Elephas maximus indicus: one gene and its partner. The protein of the gene in region 1 purifies or fractionates together with the protein of each later gene. This does not show direct contact. Links are inferred from orthologs where the notes say so. Each region holds a gene or a part of one and is shown in the gene's direction. Other genes may lie near its edges.

Evidence for each region.
Region 2: the proteins of YWHAE (region 1) and MAP3K21 purify together in Homo sapiens (affinity purification with mass spectrometry; 3 studies listed by BioGRID and IntAct, with this or other methods). This does not show direct contact. The link is inferred for Elephas maximus indicus from reciprocal best matches to the Homo sapiens genes YWHAE and MAP3K21.

Annotation. Positions count from the first base shown.
Region 1 is NC_064837.1:20,285,235-20,295,407, forward strand, and holds the start of YWHAE (14-3-3 protein epsilon), read left to right. Parts: upstream 1-4,998; 5' UTR 4,999-5,117; coding exon 5,118-5,181; intron 5,182-10,173. UniProt on the Homo sapiens protein: Adapter protein implicated in the regulation of a large spectrum of both general and specialized signaling pathways. Binds to a large number of partners, usually by recognition of a phosphoserine or phosphothreonine motif.
Region 2 is NC_064842.1:31,130,305-31,141,000, reverse strand, and holds the start of MAP3K21 (mitogen-activated protein kinase kinase kinase 21), read left to right. Parts: upstream 1-6,623; 5' UTR 6,624-6,951; coding exon 6,952-7,777; intron 7,778-10,696. UniProt on the Homo sapiens protein: Negative regulator of TLR4 signaling. Does not activate JNK1/MAPK8 pathway, p38/MAPK14, nor ERK2/MAPK1 pathways.

The DNA of each region.
Region 1 (10,173 bases):
TCTCCCAAATTATGCTGTACGGTCGCTACGAGTCGTAATCAACTGGACGGCAACTGGTTTGGTTTTGGGTTTTGAGTCAGAATCAACTCTACAGCAACGTCTTTTTTGGTATCTCTTCACTGCTATGCTTTTCAAGAGAGCTCTACACTTAACTGCTTTCATTTCCTCACCTTCTTTGGGTCTGAACCAAATGTAGTCTAGCTTCCAACACCCTTTCAAAACTGCTCTTGAAGGTCAATAATGACCTAATTGCTATATTTAATGGCTTTTCCTCAGTGCCAGTCTTACTTAATGTCTCTGCAGAATTTAATACTACTCACCACACCCTTGGAAACCCTGGTGGGTAGTGGTTAAGTGCTATGGCTGCTAACCAAAACGTTGGCAGTTCGAATCCACCAGGCGCTCCTTGGAAACTCTATGGGGCAGTTCTACTCTGTCTTATAGAGGCCATATGATTCAGAATTGACTCGATGGCAACAGGTTTGGTTTGGACCACCTCATTATTTTTGAAACTCTTCTCACTTGTTTTATGACACTAATGTCTCCTGATTCTCACTCAAACTTGAGCCACAGAAACATTAATAATACATAGTTAACATTCATTGAGTATCAGGCATCTTCCAGGTAACCGCCCACTTGATTCTCATTTGTATGAGGAAAATATCATTCCCATTTTATAGGTAAGAAAACTGAGGCTTAAAGAAGGTGAGTGACTTGCCTCCATTGCACACGCAATAAGTAGCCCTTGAACCCAAGGAATCCAAGAGCAGAGGCCATAGTCTTAATTGCTAGGACGTGTTCTACAGAGCTGGAAAAGGTCAGCAGATCCAGTTCCTTCACTTTACACATGAATTCGAAGCTCATAGAGGTGAAGTGACTTGCTGAAGGTCATACATTTATTCAGTCCTAGAATTTTTTTCTTTTTTTTAGAATTAGTACTTCCCCTCGTGTCTGTCAGTTTGTCGTACTGTGGGGGCTTGTGTGTTGCTGTGATGCTGGAAGCTATGCCGCCAGTATTCAGATACCAGCAGGGTCACCCATGGAGGACAGGTTTCAGCTGAGTTTCCAGACTAAGACGGGCTAGGAAGAAGGACCCGGCAGTCTACTTCTGAAAAGCATTAGCCAGTGAAAACCTCAGGAATAGCAGTGGAACACTGTCTGATATAGTGCAGGAAGATGAGCCCCCCAGGTTGTAAGGCACTCAAAAGATGAGTGGGGAAGAGCTGCCTCCTCAAAGTAGAGTCAACCTTAATGACGTGGATGGAGTAAAGCTTTCAGGACTTTCATTTGCTGATGTGGCACAACTCAAAATGAGAAGAAACAGCTGCAAACATCCATTAATAATCAGGACCTAAAATGTACGAAGTATGAATCTAGGAAAATTGGAAATAGTCAAAAATGAAATGGAACGCATGAACATCGATATCCTAGGCATAGAGAGATGAAATGGACTGGTATTGGCCATTTTGAATTGGACAATCATACAGTCTACTATGCTGGGAATGAAAACTCGAAGAGGAATGGTGTTGCATTCATCGTCAAAAAGAACGTTTCAAGATCTACCCTAAAGTACAACGCTGTCAGTGATAGGATAATATCCATATGCCTACAAGGAGGACCAGTTAATACGACTATTATTCAAATTTACCCACCAACCAGTAGGGCCAAAATGAAGAAATAGAAGATTTTTATCAGCTGCTGCAGTCTGAAATTGATCGAACATGCAATTAAGATGCATTGATAATTACTGGCGATTGCAATGGGAAAGTTGGAAACAAAGAAGGATCAGTAGTTGGAAAATATGGCCTTGGTGATAGAAACAATGCCGGAGATCGAATGATAGAATTTTGCAAGACCAACAACTTCATTGCAAATACCTTCTTTCACCAACATAAACAGCGACTATACACATGGACCTAGCCAGATGGAACACACAGAAATCAAATTGACTACATATGTGGAAAGAGACGATGGAAAAGTTCAATATCATCAGTCAGAACAAGGCCAGGGGCCAACTGGGGAACAGACCATTAATTGCTCATATGCAAGTTCAAGCTGAAACTGAAGAAAATCAGAGCAAGTCCACAAGAACCAAAATATGACCTTGAGTATATCCCACCTGAATTTAGAAACCATCTCAAGAATAGATTTGACGCACTGAACACTAGTGACCGAAGACCAGACGAGTTGTGGAATGACATCAAGGACATCATCCATGAAGAAAGCAAGAGGTCACTGAAAAGACAGGAAAGAAAGAAAAGACCAAGATGGATGTCAGAGGAGACTCTGAAACTTGCTCTTGAGTGTCAAGCAACTAAAGCAAAAGGAAGAATTGATGAAGTAAAAGACCTGAACAGAAGATTTCAAAGGGCCTCTCAAGAAGACAAAGTGAAGTAGTATAACGACATTTGCAAAGAGCTGGAGAAGGAAAACCAAAAGGGAAGAACATGCTTGGCGTTTCTCAAGCTGAAAGAACTGAAGAAAAAATTCAAGCCTCGAGTTGCAATAGTGGATTCCATGGGGAAAATATTAAACGACGCAGGAAGCATCAAAAGAAGATGGAAGGAATACACAGAGTCATTAGACCAAAAAGAATTAGTCGATACTCAACCATTTCAAGAGGTGGCATATGATCAGGAACCGATGGTACTGAAGGAAGATGTCCAAGCTGCTCTGAAGGCACTGGCAAAAAACAAGGCTCCAGGAATTGATGGAATATCAATTGAGATGTTTCAACAAACAGATGCAGCGCTGGAGGTGCTCACTCGTCTATGCCAAGAAATATGGAAGGCAGCTTCCTGGCCAACTGACTGGAAGAGATCCATATTTATGCCTATTCCCAAGAAAGGTGATCCAACCGGATGTGGAAATCATAGAACAATATCATTAATATCACACACAAGCAAAATTTTGCTGAAGATCATTCAAAAACGGCTGCAGCAGTATATTGACAGGGAACTGCCAGAAATTTCAGGCCTGTTTCAGAAGAGGACGTGGAACTAGAGATATCACGGCTGATGTCAAATGGATCCTGGCTGAAAGCAGAGAATACCAGAAGGATGTTTACCTGTGTTTTATTGACTATGCAAAGGCATTCAACTGTGTGGATCATAACAAACTATGGATAACACTGCGAAGAATGGGAATTCCAGAACACTTAATTGTGCTCATCAGGAACCTCTACATAGATCGAGGCAGTTGTTCTGACAGAACAAGGGGATACTGATTGGTTTAAAGTCAGGAAAGCTGTGTGTCAGAGTTGTATTCTTTCACCATACCTATTCAATCTGTATGCTGAGCAAATTATCCGAGAGGCTGGACTATATGAAGAAGAATGGGGCATCAAGATTGGAGGAAGACTCATTAACAACCTGTGTTATGCAGATGACACAACCTTGCTTGCTGAAAGTGAAGAGGACTTGATGCACTTACTAATGAAAATCAAAGACCACAGCCTTCAGTTTGGATTACACCTCAACATAAGGAAAACAAAAATCCTCACAACTGGACCAATGAGCAACATCATGATAAACGGAGAAAAGATTGAAGTTGTCAAGGATTTCATTTTACTTGGATCCACAATCAACAGCCACAGAAGCAGCAGTCAAGAAATCAAAAGACGCATTGCATTGGGTAAATTTCCTGCAAAGGACCTCTTCAAAGTGTTGAAGAGCAAAGATGTCACCCTGAAGACTAAGGTATGCCTGACCCAAGCCATGGTATTTTCAATCACATCATATGCATGTGAAAGCTGGACAATGAATAAGGAAGACCGAAGAAGAGTTGACGCCTTTGAATTGTGGTGTTGGGGAAGAATATTGAATATACCATGGACTGCCAAAAGAACAAACAAACCTGTCTTGGAAGAAGTGCGGCCAGAATGCTCCTTAGAGGCAAGGATGGCGAGACTGCATCTTACATACTTGGACATGTTGTCAGAAGGGATCAGTCCCTGGAGAAGGACATCATGCTTGGCAGAGTACAGGGTCAGCAGAAAAGAGGAAGACCCTCAACGAGGTGGATTGACAGGGTGGCTGCAGCAATGAGCTCAAGCATAACAAAGATTGTAAGAATGGCGCAGGACCGGGCAGTGTTTCGTTCTGTTGTGCATAGGGTAGCTATGAGTAGGAACGGACTCCAGGGCACCTAGTAACAACAACACAATTAGTACTAGAACCCAAGTCTTTTGAGCCTCAGTCTTTTATCATTGGAATTTGATAAATTAGGGTAAGAGTGTGAAGTGACATAATTTGGAATGCATAGGGAGCCACCCAGTCTCCTTCGCTGGCTCCTCTCTGCTTTCACTTACCTTAATGTAGGAATTCTCCAATGTTTTGTGTTTGGTCCTTTTCTAGCTCTATATGCACTCTCTAGGCACTTCCAAGCAGCGTGAGAATTGGAAGCCCTTCCGCCTATTGCCAACCAAACCAAACCCATTGCCGTCAAGTTGATTCTATCACATTTTCTCCCACAGAGCGGCTGGTGGATTCAAACTGCCTATCTTCCTGTTACCAGTCAAGTTCTGAACTACTGTGCCACCAGGGATCCTATGGCCAAACACAGCAGGGCCCAACTCTTTACACTGGGATTAAAGGAATCTCAAAAGCTCTGGGACGGAGCAATGTAGGAGTGGCAATGTAGGACAGGGCATATTTATTTCGGTGACAAAGGCCTGCAATGATCAAAACCATTATGGCCTCTCGTTTTCTTTGCCCGTAGTCCAGGCCTCGACTTGCTCGTGTCCCTCGGCTCCCTCGAGGTGCGGTCCAGGCCCATTTCGCCTCCCGACCCCCGCCTCCCTACATCCCCGCGGACCGTCCTCCCTCCCAGCAGTCAGCGTTCCCGCCTCTGCGCTCCAGCGCCTGCTGAGCCGACAGAGGTGTGCCGTCTCGAGGGTTCCAGCCTCTTCTGGCGGTGATCTCCAGGACCCGCCCCCCCGCGCCAGTTGCCAGGGAGCGGTTACCATAGAGCTGAGCAGTTGTCCGCGTGCGCAGGCGGAAGTCCCGGATTGAGGCGCCGCCATTTTTGCTGCCCGGACGCGGAGCGAGAGGCTGAGAGAGTCGGAGACGCTATCCGCTTCCATCCGTCGCGCAGACCCTGCTTGAGCCACCGCCGCTATGGATGATCGGGAGGATCTGGTGTACCAGGCGAAGCTGGCTGAGCAGGCTGAGCGATACGACGGTGAGTTGGTGGGGCAGCGGAGGGCTGGAATTCTCGGACCCTCTGCCGCCGCCCACTGAGGCCGGGAGGAGACAAAATGGCGGCATCGTCTCCGCGCCTGGCCCGGGGACGTGGATTCGGGAAGCAGGAAATGGCCTATGGGCTCCTGGAGCGATGGAAGGCTCCAGGCCCAGGAATTTGACCCCTTCGGCGTCCTCAGTTGTAGCCACTCGCGGACCGGGAGGCCGAGGCGATAGGGTGGAGGAGTTGATTGTAAAATGGCGGCTGGGGGAGGGCGAGTCTCGGGGCGGGGGAGGGGGAGGAGATCTCGGGTGCTGTCTCCGGACGTGCAGTCCCCAGGGGAGCTTTTGGGACAGTCTTGGGATGTGGAGAACAATTGGTTGGGGTGATGGGGGAAGAAACGCCCGCCACATGGGGGAGAGTGGAGACTGGGAGCTGTAGCGCTGGCGCCTTTGAGGGAAATATGGCGGGTGGGGGCGGTGGCTTTTCCCCGGAGGCCCAGTGTGGGGCGGCGGCTGTGGAGTCTCACAAAGGAGAACCTTTGCGAGTGGAGGGCTTCCTTGGGCTTGTGGTGGGGGGTGTAGTCCTGGATGAGAGTGAGAGTAGGGGGAGATGGGAATCACTGCAGTTCATCTTTGGGCGGAGACAAGCTGAGATGCTGCGATCGGATTTCTTCCCGTCGGCTGGCACACCTTGGAGGAGGGTTTTTTGGGCTTTACGATCTGCCTCGCCTTCTTGTTCTGGGGAGGTCCAGAAAAATCTCACTCATACTCTCTTTTTTCAGGCTTATCCCTCAGAGCTCGAAGTTTCCTGGTATCATTTGGCTCCAGAAACACTGGGTTTTAGTGGATAGGACATTAAACAGGAGGCGAGGAGATCATGACTGTCAGTTTTAGGTTTTGTAATGCCTGTGCCTCGATTTACCAGTTTGTAAAAATGATGGCTTCCCCGTTCTCACGAACGCACCGTTATGACAAATGGAAGGATCTTCTGTTGAACGAAATTATCTAAAATGATGTGTAGTAGCCGTATTTTGGTCGAGTCCCCAAGCTTGGAATGCGTGTTTTACTTTATTGGAAATCTTAACCTGATTCAGGCGCAGAACTGAGGCTTGAGTCTTTGAATTAGGCGATTCCAGGAGAGTCTGTATTTTCTTTTTTGCATATGAATTAAATGGTTTTATGCACAGTTTTGAACAGTTCCTCTTCTGTTTATTGCTTCTTTGTCCTGAAAGGTTCTTTAGTAATTTTTCAGAACTTTATCGAATGGCCGTTGTGTCTGTTCAGTTAGTCCCAGGCAGTTTCCTTTTCAACATAACTCCTCTTCCCACCCCTCCCCTTCACATACACCCACATATCACACATTGGACCTAGGTACTTGTTACCCGTACATCCATTAAATTGCACTGTATTAAAAACCAGCATTACGTGGTCTTACACAAATAGGTTATTTCTAATGTTTTTTTTTCGCGGGGGGGCGTGTGGCGGGGTGAGACGTGGTTGGAGTCAAATGCCTTGACCCATCTCGTAATTACTTAAGCTACTGATTTTTCGAAATTTTCTTCTCAAGTACTTAAGCCAGTTATTTTTTAAAATGTAAGGTAGGGCCCTTGGTTTCTTGAATAGCGTCAGGGCTAGTCCCCCTGTGTCATTAGAAATTAGAAATCAGGGATTTAAAAATTAGAGGGAGAAGGCCTCCAGAAGTCAAATTTAGGAAAGACACTGCACTGAATTTTTTCTTGTAAATCTTTAAGTTGTTATTGGTATTGAACGAGGTTCCTTTTGGAAGGGGGAGGGGTAATAAAACGGGAGAAGTACAGCTCAAGGTCAGTTTGTCTTTATTTCGGTGTTTAAAATTCAAACAAATGTAGGTGTACTTGTAACGGAGTTGTTTTTTCCCGCCTTGTGCCCCAGATCGGTTTCACCCTTAATCTACCAGTGCCCTTGCGAGGAAACTTAACATTATATTTGAATACTTTCGGTTGTATAGAGATTTAGGCTGTGAGTAAACTTGATGTGATAACAAAAAGAATGTGGAGGTTTTTTTTTTTTTTTTTGAAACGGATTGGGAAACTCATGATTGTAGTTTCCAAACAAATCATAGTTTAATGATAATTGTATTTTGGAGTTGAGTGCTGAGGATTTAAAAGCAAGATCTTTATTGGTTATTCAACATAGAATGCTTTTGATAGAGCCACATTATTACGTTGTTCAAATGTTAGATTTCCCTTTCAGAATCTAAAGGGGAGGGACATAGGACCTACAATGTGGAGAAGAACTATAGAGAACTCTGACAATTGGGAGCTTAAGAATCAGTGGAAAGGAAGAGGAGGAGGAAGGTGCAACAGGAGTAAGCCTGTCTTTACCTGTATCCACAGATGCATGTTGTTGTTGTTGGTTGTAGAGTTGGTTCTGACACATGATGGACCTCATGTGTGCAGAGTAGAATGATCCATAGGGTTTTCAAGTCTGTGACTTTTGAGAAGCAGAATGCTGGGCCTGTCTTCAAAGGAGCCTCTGGGTGGGTTTGAACTGCCAACCTTCAGCTAATAGTGCTTAAGTGTTTCTGCCACCCAGGGACTCTAGAGAGTCATAAAACCAAAACCAAACCCGCTGCCGTCGAGTTGATTTCGACTCATAGCAATCCTATAGTACAGAGTAGTACTGCTCCATAGGGTTTCCAAGGAGTGCCTGGTGGATTTGAACTGCTGACCTTTTGGTTAGCAGCTCTTAACCACTATCCCACCAGGCTTTCCCTTTAGAGGCTAAAAAACCAAAAACCAAACCCAGTGCCATCGAGTCGATTCCGACTCATAGCGACCCTATAGGACAGAGTAGAACTGCCCCATAGTTTCCAAGGAGCGCCTGGCGGATTCGAACTGTTGACCCTTTGGTTAGCAGCCGTAGCACTTAACCCCACTACACCACCAGGGTTTCCTGTAGCGCCATAGGTTTCCTTTATTGAGTGCAGTGAATTCAGTTTTGTGTCTGGTAACAAAAAATGATCCCATAGTCCTGGTCACCAAACAAAGTTTACTACCAGGTGTGGGGAGTAGGAAAAGATGAGGATGCATTTGAGTGATTTGTTTTCTGGGTACTTGGATATAAATGTTGGTTTCCCAATAGTCCGTGCTTTTCTCCTCGTTTCTGTATTTTGCATGCTGTGTTGAGTTTAATGCCTAAACTCCTTTTTAGCCTTACTTACCTATCCTGGGAGATTGGAATCAATTTATATATATATATATATTTTTTTTTTTAACGATACTAGAGGAGGAGCTAAGCTTTGTACAGGAAAAGGACAATTTCGGGTTGCGGTTAGAAAATATTGAAGTTTGGGGCCAATAAGATTGTTCACCTTGGAGATCAAATCCCCCATCCCGTCACTTTAACAAGTCAGTAGCTTAAGGAATAAACTACTGGTGCAATGCTGGACTGGTAGGCTAAAGGCTTGGTAGCCTGCTTCCATTAGGATTACAGCCAAGAAAAAGAAATAGAGCAGTTCTACTCTATAACACATGGGGTCACCATGAATCAGAATCCACTTGATGGCAACAGTCTTAAGGAATAGGTTTTTATCTTAGTAGTAGTAATGTTAAGCAAGTTGATCCATCTCTCAGCATTCCTGAACCAAGTCTTACCTTTTGTGTATATGAACCATGTTAAAGAAAAGTGGAGAATATTAGAAAGGAAAAAAGAATGAGTACTTTTCCCATTTTGGGGAGTAGAGGGGTCAGCATAAATTACTTTTGGGCTTGTGGGGTACTTGATGGTTTTGTTCCTTCCTTTTCTCCACTCCCTGTGAAAATTGGCTCCATGGGAAGTAGGGGTAAAGTTTTGATGATCACTTTTGGTTCACTTGGATGCATGAATGTGTCAGTTCCAGGAATGCATCTGTTCTGAGACTGTTCAGTAAAAGCTGTCATTTTCAAACATCAGAGCCCCACTTCCAGCTTATTCTGATTGAATGGTGGGGGCATGTTTTGAATTAACTCCTTAATACATATCTTGTTGGGAAAAAGTGAGTAATAGTAGATTAACTTTAATAATGAGTTTAAAAATATTAAGAATAAACACCAAATCTTTGTTAATTCTTATGTTGCTATTTCAGCTAGTAGACTAGCTTTGTTGAACAAATTTTATTTTTCTCCTGCTTAACTAAGTACACAGAATTGGGTAATGACATTTTAAAAAGAGCTTTAAAAAATCAAGTTTTAGCCTAGGTATTAAATTAGATGTTCTTCTGTGTGCACGTCAGACTTGTACACAGTATTGTGTACATTGAACATGTTTCATTCTGGTTTGTGTTATAAAATTATGGAATAAAATGAAATAACTGCAATTGGGGGTATTGGGTAAATTCTTACTACTGTGAGCATTCTTTGGCACCTTTTTCACCTGTGACAAAGGTCTCAGTTTGAACTCTGCTATGGGGAAGAGTACTTATGACAGGTATTAAGCTGAGCAAATTTTGGGTTTAGTAAATACAAGCAAGCACATTGAAAGTCTGTACAAACAAGCTGGCTTTTCATAATTGTTTTGTAGCTTGGTCAAGGGCTTATAAAATACCTTTAAATGTCCTGGTTTTAATCTGGTATAGCAATCCAAATTTCAGCCCAGTAAATTAATGTATCTAACTTTACAAGTGAGTTTTAAATACTTTAAGAAGCTGATCTGACTTAAAAGGAGAGCTGTAAGCAGATTTTGCAGGAATTTTTTACCTTATATCTCAGAAAACAGAGTGTATGTGTAGGTTGAGTTTTTAAATTATGCATTATGTAATGCCACATTTATATAGTGCTTCACAGTTCCCAGTACACTTTCACAGAAATTTTTATTTCATGTAACAACATTGAAGTAGAGTGTTACATTCATTTTATGGTTCAGGAAAGTAAATTTGGAAAGATAAAATAATTTGTTTTCCTCTATGATCACTTGACTGGTTGGCTAGTAAATGGCAAAGCCAGAACTTGGCTTTCTGCTGACCTTTAGACCA
Region 2 (10,696 bases), on another chromosome or scaffold:
ATTTGCTTCTCCATCTCATTAAAAAATGTTATTGGAGTTTGGATCAGGACAGCACTGTACCTGGAGATCGCTTTTGGCAGAATTGACATTTCCACAATATTAAGTCTTTTTATCTATGAGCAAGGTATTTTTTTCCACTTATGTAGGTCTCTTATGGTTTCTTGCAGTAGTGTCTTACAGTTTTCTTTGTATCATATGGGTCTTTTACGTCTCTGGTTAGATTTATTCCTAAGTATTTTATCTTCTTGGGGACTATTTTAAATGGTATTGATCTGGTGATTTCCTCTTTGATAGTCTCTTTGTTGGTGTGGAGGAATCTAACTGATATTTGTAGGTTTATCTTGTATCCTAATACTTTGCTGAACTCTTCTATCAGATTCAGTAGTTTTCTTGTGAATTCTTTGGGGTTTTCTGTATATAAGATCATATCATCTGCAAACAGGGATACTTCTACTTCATCCTTATCAATTTGGATACCCTTTATTTCTTTTTCTTGCCTAAGTGCTCTGGCTAGGACCTCCAGCACAGTATTGAATAAGAGTGGTGATAAAGGGAATCCTCGTTTGGTTCCTGATCTCAAAGGGAATGCTTTTTTTTTTTTTGGCTGTTGTGTTGGCTTTCTATCAATGCCCTTTATTATGTTGAGGGATTTCCTTTCTATTCCTATTTTGCTGAGATTTTTCATGGTGAATAGGTGTTGGATTTTGTCAAATGCCTTTTCTCCATCAATTGATAAGATCATGTGGTTCTTGTCTTTTGTTTTATTTACGTGATGGATTACATTGATTGTTTTTCTAATGTTGAACCATCCCTGCATACCTAGTATGAATCCCACTTGGTCATGGTGAATTATTTTTTTGATATTTTGTTAAATTCTATTGGCTAGAATTTTATTGAGGATTTTTGTGTCTATGTTCATGTGGGATATTGGTCTGTAATTTTTTTTTTTTCTTTGTGGTGTCTTTACCTGGTTTTGGGGTCAGCGTTATGCTGGCTTCATAGAATGAGTTTGGGAGTATTCCATCTTTTTTTAATGCTCTGAAATACCTCTAGTAGTAGTGGTGTTAACTCTTTTCTGAAAGTTTGGTAGAATTTTCCAGTGAAGCTGTCAGGGCCAGGGCTTCTTTTTTGTTGGGAGTTTTTTTAATTACCTCTTCAATATCTTCTATTGTTTTAGGTTTATTTAATTGTTCTACCTCTGTTTGTGTTAGTTTAGATAGGTAGTGTGTTTCTAGAAATTTGTCCATTTCCGCTAGGTTTTCAAATTTGTTGGAGTACAATTTTTCATGGTATTCTGTTATGATTCTTTTAATTTCACTTGGGTCTGTTGTGATATCACCCATCTCATTTCTTACTTGGGTTATTGCTTCCTCTCCTATTTTTCTTTTTTCAGTTTGGCCAATGATTTATTGATTTTGTCGATCTTTTCAAAGAACAAGCTTTTGGTCTTGTTAATGTTTTCAATTTTTTTTTTTTTTAATTCTCTATTTCATTTAATTCAGGTCTAATTTTTATTATTTGCTTTCTTCCGATACCTGAGGGTTTCTTTTGTTGCTCTCTTTCTATTTGTTCAAGTTGTAGGGTTAATGTTTTAACTTTGGCCTTTTCTTCTTTTGGGATGTGTGCGTTTATTGCTATATATTGACCTCTGAGCACTGCTTTTGTTGTGTTATAAAGGTTCTGGTAGGATGTATTTTCATTCTCATTTGATTCTGTGAATTTCTGTATTCCAATCTTAGTTTCTTCCATAATCCAGGAGTTTTTGAGCAAGGTTTTGTTCAGTTTTCAGGTATTTAATTTTTTTCCCTTGCTTTTTCTGTTACTGATTTCTACTTTTACGGCTTTATGGTCAGAAAAGATGCTTTGTAATATTTCAATGTTTTGGATTCTGTTAAGTCTTGCTTTGTGGCCTAATATGTGGTTTATTCTGGAGAATGTTTCATGTGTGCTGGAAAATATCCTTGGCTGCTGTTGTGTAGAGTGTTCTGTATATGCCTATGAGATCAAATTTGTTGATTATGGCGCATAGATCTTCCGTATCTTTATTGAGCTTCTTTCTGGATGCTCTGTCCTTCACTGAAAAGTGGTGTGTTGACATCTCCTGTTTTTATTGTGGAGCTTTTTCTCTTCTTGGAAACCCCGGTGGCATAGTGATTAAGTGCTATGGCTTCAGTTCGAATCCACCAGGCGCTCCTTGGAAACTCTATGGGGCAGTTCTACTCTGTCCTATAGGGTCACTATGAGTCAGAATCGACTCGATGGCACTTGGTTTCTGGGTTTATTTCTCTTCTCAGTGCTGTTAGAGTTTCTTTCATGTGTTTTGGAACCCTGTTATTGGGTGTGTAAATATTTATTATGGTTATGTCCTCCTGGCGTATTGACCCTTTTATCATTATGTAGTGTCCTTCCTTATCCTTTATGGTGGATTTTGTTTTAAAGCCTATTTTGTCAGAGATTAATATTGCCACTCCTGCTCTTTTTTGATTGTTGTTTGCTTGATATATTTTTTCCCCACCTTTGAGTTTTAGTTTGTTTGTGTCTTTGGGTCTAAGATGTGTCTCTTGTAGACAGCATATAGATGGATCGTGTTTTTTAATCCATTCTGCCACTCTCTGTCTCTTTATTGGTGCATTTAGTCCACTTACATTCAGTGTAATTATTGATAGGTATGAGTTTAGTGCTGTCATTCTAATATTGTTTTTGTGTGTGTGTTGTTGACAGTTTCTTTGTTCCACTTAATTTTCTGTGCTGAATCATTTTTCTTAATGTTTCTTAATGTATACCCCTTTCATCTTTTTCATTGTAGTTAATTTTGCATTTGGTTTTGGTTTTATGTTTTTCTTGTTTTTTATTTTGGATGTGTAGGATTGTTAGTTTCCTTTGTGTTTACCTTAATATTTACCCCTATTTTTGTATGTTTAAATCAATTTTTTATTTCTTGATATTGCCTTGACTTCCTCTCCATATAAAAATTCTATGCCTATATTATTTAATCCCTCTTTTTTGTTTTAATGTTGTCATCTTTTACATACTGACATCTCTGTTTCCCTATTTTCAAAGTTTTAGCTTTGATTTATTTTTGTGACTTCCCTGCCTGGGTTGATATCTGCCTGTTTGAGCCCGTGTTCTAGACTTGGGTTGTAATCCGATTTTATTGATTTTATAACTGGAGGGCTCCCTTTAGTATTTCTTGTAATTTTGGTTGGTTTTTAACAAATTCTCTAAACTTCTGTTTATCAGGAAATGACCTAACTTTGCCATCATATTTAAGAGACTGTTTTGCTGGATACATAATTCTTGGCTGGCAATTTTTTTTCTTCAAGGCTTTATATATGTCATTCCATTGCCTTCTTGCCTGCATGCTTTCTGCTAAATAGTCAGAGATTAGTCTTATTGAGTCTCCTTTGTAGGTGACTTTTCATTTTCTCTAGCTGTTCTTAAAATTCTCTCTTTATCTTTGATTTTGGCAAGTTTGATTATAATATGTCTTGATGACATTCTTTTGGGATCTACCCTATGTGGGTTCGATGAGCTTCTGTTGACTATTTTTTTACTTAAATAAATTGAGTATAAAACTTATTTCCATTACTTTGAACAGAAAATTCCTATCACTTGTCATAAAACAGAAGGCAACCATAAATAGAAATATTAGAAATAGAAAAACAAATAGAATTTCTGGTCTACCAAAGGGGCCAAGCTAAGGACCTTCCTTCTATCTTTATTAAAAAGGGATATTAATAACACAGCCAACACTTACTGAAAACTTACTAAGTGCCAAGCATCTTTCAAGTCCTTTATGTAGTAACTCATTTAGTCTTCCCAACATCTCCATGAGATGTTGTTGTTGTTAGTTGCTGTCAAGTTGGTTTCAACTGAAGATGACCCTATCTACAACATAATGAAACATTGCCTGGTCCTGTGCCATCATGTTTGTGGGTACATTTTAAGTTCATCATTGCAGCCATTGTATCAATCCATCTCGTCGAGGGTTTCTCTCATTTTTGTTGACTATTTTACTGAACATGATGTCTTATTTTTCTAGTGATTGGTCTTTCCTGATGATATGTCCAAAGTAAGGGAGTCAAAGTCTTGCCATCCTCACTTCTAAGGAACATTTCGATTCTATTTCCTCTAAGACTGACCTGTTGTCAATTTGTCCTAATGTGGTGGCTTGGGTGTTGCTGTGACACTGGAAGCTATGCCACCAGCATTTCAAACACCAGCAGAGTCACCCATGGTAGAGAGGTTTCATTGGAGCCTCCAGACTAAGACAGACTAGGAAGAAAGGCCTGATGATCTACTAAAACAACTCTACGAGATACTCTACAAGATAGGTACTGTTTATTATTATTTCCATTTTACAGATGAGGATATTGAGCCACAAGAGATATGGTATCTTGCTCAAGTTCATAAAGCCAATAAATGGCATGAGCAGGATTGAAAGAAAACCGAAAAGGCAATGAATTTCTCATTATATGAGTCAATATTATTATATGTCCTGTTCTCATTACTCCTAAAATAATCTCTCCTGTCACCCACACTTCAGGAGTGTCTAGCATGCTATAGGATGCTCTTTATAATTTTTATAACTTGACTCTTTTCTATCTTTCTAGCCTCATCCTCTGCCACAGGAACCTGTCATCCTCTTGCCATTGCCTGAGGCCACTATTTACTGTATTTTCATTCTGTCTGCCTGGAATGTCCTTCTTCCCTTGCCCTGTTAATTCTAATCATACTCAGTTCAAATGATGAATCACAAAGCAGTCCCCAGCCACCCCAGTTGTAATTAATTGCTCCTTCACCTTTTTTTTTTTTCACCTTAAGTCCAGACAAGTTGGTTTGTTCTTTTGTTGTGGACCTTTATTCTTTCTTGTCATCTCTAGAGCAGAAGCCTTGCTCATTTGTCCCTGTATCTGCCATTCCTTAGCATAGTGTCTTACACAGAGTAAGTGCTCAGTAAACAGTCAGTAGTTACTTTAAATTTATACTTGGAGAGTTTCTTCCCACATCTCCATCAGTATAGAGAGTAAATGGGGGTAGGATGGGGTTAAGAGGATGGAGAAGGGAAAGCCCCTGTGAGTCTAGGCCTGGGAAAAGTAGAAAACCCAGGAGAGAAAGAGGCACCACACTGCTACCTTTTCAGCTGCAGAGGAAGAGAAGACTGGCTACATCTAACATCTAACAGTAGCAATCTTTTTCATGAGAACTAATTATTTTATTCCTTTTAATAACCCTTCTCATCAGTAAATTCTCAAAAAAAAATTTTTAAAACAAATGCATTCGTTAACAAACTACAGAGTAGGAATGCATGTTCCTATGAGAAAATTCCAAAATTCCTCCCTGTTCTTAGACCAGAAAGAGTTCCTAGCTCCAAATATAAAACTTTTATTCTCTAAATCTGTTAGAAAGCTATACAGGGCAAATAGAGGGAGGTGAGGCCTATCAATCAAGAGAAGCAGCAGTTCTGCTTCCCTGAATGTTTAGGTACACACTTTGTATGCTCTTTATTTATCCCACATGATAGAACACCAAGTAAACACCCTTAATGCATACTCAGGAGTCCCTGCGTGGTGTTAACTATGCGTGGCTGCTAACTGAAAGGTTGGAGGTTTGAGTCCACCCAAAGGCACCTGGAGATCCACTCCCAAAAAACCAGCGACTGAAAACCCTATGGAGCAGCTCTACTCTGACGCACATGGGGTTGTCATGAGTCAGCAAAGACTCTATGGCACTGGTTTAATGAATAGTCAGCACACCATTGAGGACTTGAGTTTCTGTGTATAACGACTCTATTACCTTATTTACCTTTTCTGGGAGAGAATGAAGCCCACCTCCGGGGGGGAAACAAGCCTTAAGAGGTCAGGGCCTCTAGCAGCCAGTCTTTTCCTATGTCTGATCAACCCAAACTGGTGGGTTCACGGGCTCAGGGGCTCCTTTTTCCATTTGAGGAGGCAGTAATGCAAACAAAGAATTAAAGGTTATGATGAAGGGACTTGCGGGGGTGTACAGACCTATAGCTCGCTCTGTACTGTCACCCGCACCCTACTCCCTGTGAAATGCACTTTGATTTCAAATACACCAGGCCTGGTGATGTGGCAACTGCCCCGTCCCAGGTTTGGGACCACTCTCCGACCTATTCAGAGATGTCCTGTCACTCCCTCCGCGCTACAATTCACTCCCTTCCTTCACACCTTAAAGCACCGGATCTTGGATCCTTAAAGCTCTCTAGCCTCTGCCCGTCCATGGGTCAGAATGAACTCTGCTGCAACCAACCACCACCACCACCCTGTACTTAATTTACAATTTTCCGAAAACTTCTCTTCCCTCTGGACCAGACGCCCCGGCTCGCTCCCTCGCCCCGGCTCGCTCCCTCGCCCCGGCTCGCTCCCTCGCCCCGGCTCGCTCCCTCGCCCCGGCTCGCTCCCTCGCCCCGGCTCGCTCCCTCGCCCCGGCTCGCTCCCTCGCCCCGGCTCGCTCCCTCGCCCCGGCTCGCTCCCTCCCTCGGTCACGTGGCTCGGCGTGCCAATGCCCGCGAGCCCCGACGTCTGGGGCGCGGCGGGGCGGCAGGGGCGCGGCAGGCCCGGAGAGGGGCGGGGCGGCGGGCAGGGCGCGCCGGCGGGGGCGGTGCCGAGGGCGGAGGGCGGCCCGCGCTCTCAGGCCGGCGGAGGACCCGTGAGCCACCATGGAGCGCCCGCGCCCGCGCCCGCGGGTGCAGCTGCATCAGCAAGAGCCACTGAGGAAGAGCTGGGCTGAGGCGGGGGCCTCCGGGTAGCGGACCCAGCGGCCCTGTAACCCTCCTCTCCCCATCCCCGGACCCCCGGACTCCCTCCTCGTGGCCGGCTCCGGGGGCGTGGGCACCGCGACTCCGCCGGACGATGCGCCCGCCGGGCCGCCCCGGAGGCTGAGCCCGCAGCCCTGCGACCCTGTCCTCCTCCTCTGGACCACCCCTCCATGGCCTTCCCGGGCGCCGCGGGGGCGGCCGACAGGCCCGCGTCCCCGGCGCTGGGGGCTCCCGCGGCCGCCGGCTCCTCGTCGTCGTCCTCAGCCTCCTCCAGCGGCTCGTGCTCCGCGGCGGGCGCCGGGCGCCTGTGGGCCGCGCTCTACGACTACGAGGCGAGCGGCGAGGACGAGCTGAGCCTGCGGCGCGGCCAGCTGGTGGAGGTGCTGTCCCAGGACGCCGCCGTGTCGGGCGACGAGGGCTGGTGGGCCGGCCAGGTGCAGCGGCGCCTCGGCATCTTCCCCGCCAACTACGTGGCGCCCTGCCGCCCGGGCGCCTGCCCGCCGCCGCCGCCTCCCGCCCCGCCGCCGCCACCGCGGCCCGGCTCGCCGGTGCACATCGAGTTCGAGCGGCTGGAGCTGAAGGAGCTGATCGGCGCCGGCGGTTTCGGGCAGGTGTTCCGGGCCACCTGGCAGGGACAGGAGGTGGCGGTGAAGGCGGCGCGGCGCGACCCGGAGCAGGACGCGGCGGCGGCGGCCGAGAGCGTGCGGCGCGAGGCGAAGCTCTTCTCCATGCTGCAGCACCCCAACATCATCCAGCTGCGCGGCGTCTGCCTGCGGCAGCCCAACCTCTGTCTGGTGCTCGAGTTCGCCCGCGGCGGAGCGCTCAACCGCGCCTTGGCTGCCGCCGCAGACTCGCGCGCCCCCGGCCCGCGCCGCGCGCGTCGCATCCCCCCGCACGTCCTGGTCAACTGGGCGGTGCAGATCGCGCGGGGCATGCTCTACCTGCACGAGGAGGCCATAGTGCCCATACTGCACCGGGACCTCAAGTCCAGCAACAGTAAGTGGGAAACAGTGGCGGGCAGTCCTGGGGGTGAGGAGAGAAGTTGGGGAGGGCACTGCTAGCTCCAACCCAGTGCCCTGGAACAGCGCCGGGCAGGCAGCCCACCCCATGCATCCCAGGGTGGACCCTCCGGAATAGGGCGCCAGGTGGAAAGGGGCGGGGACCAGCTCTCACTGGGCCTGGAGCAGCCTTCCGGGGTTCAAAGTTCCAGCTAGACCTTGGCGACTTGCTTTGAGGCCGATAACACACTTAGTTTGACTTGTTGCTTTTGGGCGCTTTTTGAAAAATGTGGATCAGATTTGCATGTAGACGAAGCAGTTGAAACCTGTATCTCCTGAAAACCTTACGGGGAGATTTGGCCTTTAGGTACAATAGGTGGTTCATTTGGGTAGGACTTTGTAGACAGGCCTTCCTGAATTCCTTCCTTGAGGAACCCATGGCCCCCTTTCCTGCGTAATGGCTTTCACCCAATTTCCTCTTTCCTTCAGATTTACAAGTGCTGTATCGAGGTTGCCATTCTCCCACTTGAATATGGCTTTGTGTTCTTGAACTTCTATAGATTTTTCATTCAGACATCTCTGCAAATGAAGTGTGATTTTATTATTGGTTCCGTGGCTTGAGTGTTGGTGAACAGCCTGTAGTCAAGAAACACCAGCTTGTGTTATACGCTTGTGGGTTTATTGAGAGCGAGTGTATTGTCCTGGCACAGACACTTGACATCCTCAAGACCTGGCCTGTATCATTTAGTGTGTTTATAAATAAGGTTGAATTTTCCAGATGTCCGTGAATAACTGACATGACTTAAATACAAATCGTATTAAATTTTCACTGTACAAAAGAGCTAATAGAATTGCTGTTTGAAGTTAGTTCTTTAATATGGAAGCTCACTCCATGTGATAGTCTTAGAATAAAGTGAAATCCCATGACAGATTGAATGTTGCAGCCAGAACTGGTCGTGGCCTACTACAGCAGGATGGCTTTTAACCTTGTAAAACCTGCTAGGACAGGTGCTAATGCAAACTGAAACAGTGTCCTTCCTCCCTAAGTCGACTAGAGGCAGCTTCAGGGACAAGAATAAATGATGTATTTGTCATATGTTTTGTGAATTTTTTTTTCTTTTCAAAAATCCTTCAGTCCTGGAAAGTTTTTGAACACGAATAATGTAGTATCTTTATTTGGAAATTATAAATAATTTGGGTATTGATAGGTACTTATAGGAGCCCGGTGGCGCAGCTGTTAAGAGCTGAGCTGCTAACCAAAAGGTTGGCAGTTCGAATCCACCAACTGCTCCTTGGAAACCCTGTGGGGCAGTTCTGCTCTGTCCTTATAGGGTCGCTATGCGTTGGAATCAACTGGATGGCAACCGGTTTGGGTTTTAGGTACTTATAAGCATTTAATACTTTTAGGTTTTATTTTATGACAGTTCCCCTCCCCCCAAGTCTCTTATTATTTAAAATTGCAACTGCTGAAGTGACAGGAGCAAAATCTAACAAAATACTGTATAGAAAAGTGGTAGTGGTAGTGGTGTGTTCTTGGAGCTTCTGACAGGGGCCAGATAAATGACTCTAGAATTAAAGTAGCACAGTTTTCAATGTACTTTTTTTTTTGGTGAATGCTTCAAACCTGACACAGTCTGCCTTGCTAATTTGTACTGATTCCCTAAAAATACCTTTACTGAAAGAAATGTTTAACCTGCTGCCATAGGTGGTGCAGTGGTCTAAGCATTTGGCTGCCAGCCAAAAGATCGATAGTTTGAATCCACCAGCCGCTTCTTAGAAACCCTACGGAGCAGATTTGTTCTGTCCTGTAGGGTCGCTTTGAGTTAGAATCGACTCAATGACAATGGGTTCAGTTTGGTTTGGTTTATAGAATAGTGGCGTTCCATAAGCCTGGGTGTCCTGTCGGCCCTCTCCCCTGAAATGCTCACAAGCCTGTGTCTGCTGGGAGTTTTCTGAAGAACCAGGCATTCTAGGGACAGCAGTACCATCATTCCCTCATCTGTCCCTTGGCCCTTGCAGCAGGTCTGGGATAACGTGGCACCAGGTATTCCACAAACTTACTCCGTTGCAGAACATCACATCAGCGACACAGGTAAACAGTTCAGGTTAGATGGATCAGTAGACCCAAAAAAGGTAAAGGACCTATAAACTTTTTTTTTTGCATTTTGCGGTTTTGTTTGGTTGTAATATTACTTCACGTCTATAGGATGGGTGGGTGAAGTGGAGCATGCTTGCTACTAGGGCAGGCATGGGAGGGGAGGTTAACCCGTGTCCTTGTTGTTGCAAGTAGTAAACTTTTTAATATAAAATAAAAACTTTTAAGGAACTCCTAAAACTGTGAAATAGTAAGAACAAATAATCTGACCCTGGAGTAATAAAAAAAATACCTACGGTTAAATAGTTTTTATTGACACCAGAAAAACTTGGAGCACCACGTATATGGTAGATATTATGCAATTTGAAGGTAATTATATGTTGTAACTTAGTTTTTGAAAGACCTTTTCTCTCTGAGAATAAACTGACAGATTTCATGGAGCATTGTAATCTCTGTAGTTGTCAGGTAAGGCTCCCTTTGCTTTAAATTGTTGACCTTTTAAGAAGTGCCTAGCCAGATATTTGTTAACTGTGATCCTCATTGTAGCTATTGCTATAAAATTACTATAAAATGAAAATTTTGCATAGGGCCTAAAATGGGCAAATCACAGTGCCTAGCACCTTTTTTTTTTTCTGTTTTTATTTGTTAATGAATGCAGGTACTGTGGAATTCTGTTATGATACGAAGCTATAACTTCTTGTTCAGACTTTGAGTAGAGCAGACAGTCTATCACAGTGTGATTTGTTTGATTTTATTGGTTATTTGTTCAGACTTTGAGTAGAGCAGACAGTCTATTACAGTGTGGTTTGTTTGACTTTATTG